Oryzias latipes: one gene and its partner. The protein of the gene in region 1 binds, or shares a complex with, the protein of each later gene. Links are inferred from orthologs where the notes say so. Each region holds a gene or a part of one and is shown on either strand. Other genes may lie near its edges.

Evidence for each region. Proteins that work in one complex are often made in the same cells at the same time.
Region 2: akap17a (region 1) and ppp1r8 share a complex: the UniProt entries of both Homo sapiens proteins name them as parts of the spliceosome. The link is inferred for Oryzias latipes from reciprocal best matches to the Homo sapiens genes AKAP17A and PPP1R8.

What each region holds. Positions count from the first base shown.
Region 1 is NC_019879.2:18,190,415-18,192,810, forward strand, and holds part of akap17a (A-kinase anchor protein 17A), read left to right. Parts: intron 1-402; coding exon 403-615; intron 616-1,512; coding exon 1,513-1,661; intron 1,662-1,943; coding exon 1,944-2,184; intron 2,185-2,279; coding exon 2,280-2,396. UniProt on the Homo sapiens protein: Splice factor regulating alternative splice site selection for certain mRNA precursors. Mediates regulation of pre-mRNA splicing in a PKA-dependent manner.
Region 2 is NC_019874.2:22,802,947-22,806,706, reverse strand, and holds the start of ppp1r8 (nuclear inhibitor of protein phosphatase 1), read left to right. Parts: upstream 1-1,259; 5' UTR 1,260-1,306; coding exon 1,307-1,359; intron 1,360-1,804; coding exon 1,805-1,865; intron 1,866-1,977; exon of another isoform or gene 1,978-2,116; coding exon of another isoform or gene 2,117-2,134; exon of another isoform or gene 2,135-2,142; intron 2,143-2,203; coding exon 2,204-2,357; intron 2,358-2,807; coding exon 2,808-3,025; intron 3,026-3,346; coding exon 3,347-3,491; intron 3,492-3,760. UniProt on the Homo sapiens protein: Inhibitor subunit of the major nuclear protein phosphatase-1 (PP-1). It has RNA-binding activity but does not cleave RNA and may target PP-1 to RNA-associated substrates. May also be involved in pre-mRNA splicing.

The DNA of each region.
Region 1 (2,396 bases):
AGATGAAATTATGGTTAAAATGCCTTGATCTAATCTGGATCCTCTACTTGCCACAGTATAAAAGTTTGGTGGTAGATAGAATGAAATATTCATTTTTACATCAAATGTATTTTTGGTGATTAACCGATTAGGCGGTTATTTATTCACCAAATAGGATTATCATCCAAGAAAGTACTGATTGAAGTTCTTATAGTTTTTATGAAGCTTCTTTTTATTCAGGCAATGTCTATGCCTGCCTGCATGTGTTGACTGGATGACTAAATGAAACTCATTTTGAAGGAGTTATCCCTTCCATTTGTTTGAATCTAGTTGCTTCACTATTTCTTTTATTCTTAAGACGATCAAAGTTATTTTAAGGTTCAACTAATAAACCAGAAATATTGTGTAATCTTGTTTTTGTAGGTGCGCAATGTTGACATCCCCATGCTGGACCCTTATAGGGAGGAGATGATGGACAAAAACTTCAGTACCTTCAGCTTTGGAGGCCACCTAAACTTTGAAGCTTTTGTCCAGTATCAGGAGTATGGCTTCTTCACAAAAGCCATGGATACGCTCCGCGGCATGAAGCTGATGCTGAAAGGAGAGGATGGAAAGGCAGTGGCCTGCAACATCAAGGTACTCTATCTTCAAATGTAGAGAACTTCTTTACCCTACAATCATGAGCACACTTTAAATGAGCTACTTTGGCTTCAGCTCTTTTATTTTCTGCTAAATATTTGTAAATCACTGCGCATCATAGAATGGAATTGTCCTATTTTGAGAGTCTGGTGTTAGAGGCTGTCCTCTTTACCCAGAAGGGTTGAGAAACCCCCCTAATGGCTACTTCATGTACACATTTATAGCTAATTTCATGTCTATTGTACTTAAACACAACTTAGTGGGTGTTTTCACCTCCATGTAAGCAAATAAATGACTGAAAGGCTTTTCTTTTTGGAGTTTTTAAATGATATGAAGGACTTATCACCTAAGCTCCATAAATATCTAAAAGTCTACGATACCGTAAATCATTTTTGAGTGAAAGTCTTGGTTTTACTTCAAAAGCTGTTTATTTTTAATGATTCCTTATTTTGTGACATGACTGATTAAATGCAGCTCTTGCAGTGATGATGAACATTTGCAGGCTGAATCAAAGAGATTGTTCTGGTCTGAGTGACAGAGTAGCTTAAGACCTTTCACTGCCATCAGAATGAAAGCTGTGTCATCAGTATCTCTGAGGTTCTGCTGGCGGCAGACTGAAGTGGTTTAATCCAGAGACTAAAGCTGTGGGATTTAAACTGATGTAAGACCCCAGAAAAGGCAACTTTGATTACAGATAATGAAATGCATATATTTGTTTTCAAATGCCAAAGTTTGAATGTTCTTGGTCTCATACTTCAACATTTCATCAAGGCGGACATCTTTTAGTTTCTTGCAGGTACCGGTACATAAATGCCCAAAACTCCTCGGTTAGCAAACACACAACAGTCATATTTATCGTTAAATGATGTTAAATGTGGTTTTTATTCCTTTCAGGTGACGTTCGACACCAGCAAACACCTTAGTGACGCGGCCATTAAGAAGAGGAACCTGGAGCGGCTGAAGCTGCAGGAGCTGGAGAAGCAGAGAGAGGAGCAGAAACGACGAGAGAAAGAAGAGGAGGAGAGGCGAAAGGAGGAAGAGAGGTATGGTAAAAAACAGGGGAATGGTCAGTTCATCTAGACTGGTGAGGCTTCAGTATGGCCACATTAAACACAAAAGTAAATGAATTCACATGCAACCTTATGTCAAAAAATGTATTTGCATTTCTTCCTTCTGCTTTTTTTTAATTTTAATTTTAAGAAAATATTTACCCTCATCTTCTCCTGAACAGGAACAGGAAATTGTAGTTTTTCTTTTCCCTCTTAGAATTCAGTCTACTTTCACCAAAAACAGGGTTATATCCGTGTCACTGATTGCTTTTTCAGGAAACTGAAAAAGATGGAGGAGGAGGAAAAGGAGAGAAAAAGAGAAGAGAGGATAAGGAAGCGGGAGCAAAAGCTACGGGAGAAGGAGGAAAGGAGGAATGTGAAGAAGGTCAGGCGGCAGCAGGAGGAGGAGCAGAAGAAGCTGCAGATGAAGATCGCGATGGAGGAGAGGAGGCTGCTGCTGGCTCAGCGCAACCTGGAATCCTTACGTCTCGTTGCTGAGCTGCTGGCCAGAGCCAAGGTATGAAACTCGCACAGGTTTTCCCCCTCCGGAGTTTCACAGCCCTTGTTTTGACAGCACAGATGGTTTTCTTTATGTCTCGTCCTTCCCTTCAGACACTCAAACAGCATCAGGAGGAAAAAGAAAAGGCGGAACGAGAGAAGCAAGAGCGACAGGAGCAGGCCAGACAAAAGGAGGAATTGGCTCGCCTTCAGCAGCTGGAAGCCTGTCGG
Region 2 (3,760 bases), on another chromosome or scaffold:
CCCCTTTTGCAAATTATAGACGGAAAACATTTCATTTTTGGTTGAAGCCTTACATGTCTGAATCAAATGCAGTTAAAAGTTGTGTCTGCACCCCCTCTTTATGGATCCAGCTCACAGCGCTTTTCTGAAAATGTCTATCATCCTTTCTGAAAGTTCACTTCTGCTTCAGCTTTACACTTTATGCCATCTGTAAACAAAACTTTTACCATCTCCAGCTGACTAACAGAGGTCAACGCTGAACATATTTTTTTATTTAAAACATAGAACTCTAAATGGATCCAAGAGAGTCAGTTAATTTGAGGTAACCCCCCCCCCCCTTCCACCCACCTCAGGCCTGACCAAAAAAGCAAAAACCAGAAGGAGTTCACCCACTCACAAGCAGAAATAGATACAGACACAACTTCAAGCCCCCCAACACAGAATCCCACACATGTTGACCAATCATTTATTTCCAAGAAAATGTTTCCATTTTCAAATTAAGAGTTTAGAGACCTCTAGTGGTCTTTTGTAATTGAATTCTTCATGTTTATTAGGCAGCTTTACAAAGAAACATGCAAATCAAATAAAAAATTACTTGAATTATAACTGTTTTTGTTTGTTTGTTTTTCAAAATATAATATGATAATGTTTTTCATTAGTTAAGTATTTAAAAGTTACTCCCAAACCACTCATCATCTTGAAAAGAAACATTAAACATACAGTACAGACCAAACGTTTGGACAAACCTTCCCATTCATTTGAATGAGAAGGTGTGTCCAAACTTTTGGTCAGTACTGTAGTAAGAAGAACATCTTTCCTATGGGATAGATGGGGAGGCATGTGGTCGAGGGTTCTGCTGTGTAAACCATGAAGAGAAAAGAGAAAAGCTAACAAAAAAAGTCATTTTTGTCATCAAATATTTTTTATAACTTTTTCTGAGTCCCATTACAGGACTGTTGTGAAATTAAAATTAATGACATTATTATTAAAATTAATCTGTATATTTTTAATTAAAATATTACATTTTCTATGAATGGATTTAACACAAGTAAATCAAAATTGAACTTTTTTTGTTAATAAATCTTACAGTGCAATTAAGTTTTAAGTGAAGATCATTTGCCAAAAAAAAAAAAAAACTATTTCAAAAGTTTTACTAAAAAAGAATAATTCCCTGTATCCTGTACAAATCTGACGAATATTGCAATATGGTAAAATTATTATTAATATTATTACTCTTACTATCATTATTATCTCTGAACGACAACTCCCGACATCCCAATGTTTTGTTTACCCAGCATGCATTTTGGTTGCAATATGCTAAAGCAAGATGGCGACTAAAACAGGCAAAGACGGTCCTCCGCCTTTTGATTGTCCATCATGGTGAGAAAACTTACTTATTGCAGAACAAACTAGAAATTTGTAACGCGTTGCTGGATGTGCATTTGCAAAGCTATTTGACCTGTTCATTTGTGCCTTTTAATGCTAAGTAGAAGTCTGTAGTTGCAGTTGCTAACATTAGCTAGGTTAGCATGGTAACCCTTAGCGTTGTTGGCGTCAATTAACCAGAAGGGCTAGAAATTATTTATTCGAACGGGGAAAGCCGTGTTCTTTGTATGAGTAGAATTCACGTCCAGATCAATTAAAAATAATTATTATTATAAATGTGGAAAATATTTATCTTTAAAATATTTATTCTTGAAATAGCTAGCGCGGAGAGAAACATGTAAAAGACATTTGAATTCATTTATTGTAACATTAATTTGTGCATGATCCATGTTTGTTTGTTTTCCCTAAATATTGACAGTAGTTGATCGTCTGTTTACAGGGCAGGCAAACCCCCCACGGGGCTTCATCTTGACGTAATGAAGGGAGACAAACTGATAGAGGTAATAATTGAATGAAAATGTGCAGATGTTGGTCCTGTTATGCAGTAATATGACTGCTTATTCTGCTTTTGTGCCTTACTGTTGTTAAATCATGTATCGTGTAAGTCCATACATGCACCCATACACGAGCCTGACAGTCTGCTCTGTCCCTGATGTTTGAACATCAGGACAGGTCTGTGGCTGCATGGCTTCCAACGGTGCTACAGCAAAATCAGCCGTGAGGTTTAAGCTGATCAGTGGAAGCGACACTGATGAGTTATGACTCAGAGGTACACCTGTACTGTTGAAGCCATACTTTATGTGTGACTGACAGAAAAAACATTCTCTCTTTTCTATAGAAATTGATTATTGATGAGAAGAAGTTTTACCTTTTTGGGAGGAACCCCGACTGGTGTGACTTCACCATCGACCATCAGTCATGTTCCCGTGTTCATGCTGCCTTAGTCTACCACAAACACCTAAAAAGACTCTTCCTTATAGACCTCAACAGCAGTAAGGGATCGCTTTTAGTCCTACCTTTGTATTTGATTTATATTGTTGGAAGAAAGAAACGGTACACAAAGCAGAATGCAATACTGAAGCATTTTAATCATTTAGGAATTGAATACATTCTGCCATCACGTTTGATACATTTACGAATATTAAATCATATGAATAGAGTTAAAAGGATCACCACAGCTTCAACATCCATACACATTTTGTTTGTTTGTATTTCATGTGTTGTGATGAAATCACGGATCGTATCACTGAAAAATTTAGATTTGATCAACTTTCTGACTTTAAAGCAAATATCTTTCCCAATTGCTAAAAGAGTTGGAGTGTACGGTGGTGGTAAAAATTGCATCTTGTTTTGTTGTAGTATTGTTTCATTGTTATGACAGTGTTGCGTTACCTCTTTATTTTATTCTTTTGGGAAACCTTATTTGATTGTTACCCTTTCAGCACATGGTACTTTCCTTGGACACATCCGCCTCGAGGCCCACAAGCCTCAGCAGGTTCCTATAGACTCCACTTTAGCTTTTGGGGCTTCCACGCGAACGTATATCATCAGAGAGAAACCCCAAACCCAAGGCAGCACTAGCACAGGAGACAATAAGACGGGAGATGACGAGGAGCTCAAAGGACTTCTAGGTCTTCCAGAAGAAGAAACAGAGTTAGATGTACGTTATGTTTTCTGATCAATCTTGTTTTCATCTCTGTTTATTCCAGTCTTTTTGCCTGTTGATTCTTGAACTCTGGCTAAATTTGTCAAACTACTAAAGTTTAAGATTTGCTTGTTTGCTTTTATACAAATAGACCTGCATATTTTACTTTGACCATGTGTGCATGGTCAAAGTAAAAGTAAAAGTAAGTAGTGGCAAGGTTTAGTTTCAGAATACTACTATGTTTTTTCCCACTTATGAATCCTTTAATCCCGTCTACCGGTTGGTTGAAATGTTGTAGCCGCCTTACAAATGTTTGTGGTTTCTGAATCCTGTCAGAATCTGACAGAGTTCAACACAGCTCACAACAAGCGCATCTCGCTATTGACCATTGAAGAAGGCAACCTGGAAATCCAAAGACCTAAAAGGAAACGCAGAAACTCCAGAGTCACCTTCAGTGAAGAGGACTCCATCATTAACCCAGGTACTTACCAGTGTAAAAAATAAAAAACTTCATTTATGAACTTCTTGTTTTTAATCATAGCTGTTTTCACCTCTTGAGACAGGATGAATATTTTTTTGGTAGATTTCCTGTGGACTAGTTCTTTATATATATATATATAAGTTTATGTACTGGTAAATAGTTTTTTGTTTTTTTTGGGGGGGGTGTGTAGTTAATTTCCCTTTTTATTAAAGCACAGTCAAATAATTCTGTCAATGTTGCTTTCTAAAGATATACACCCAAATTTTAGT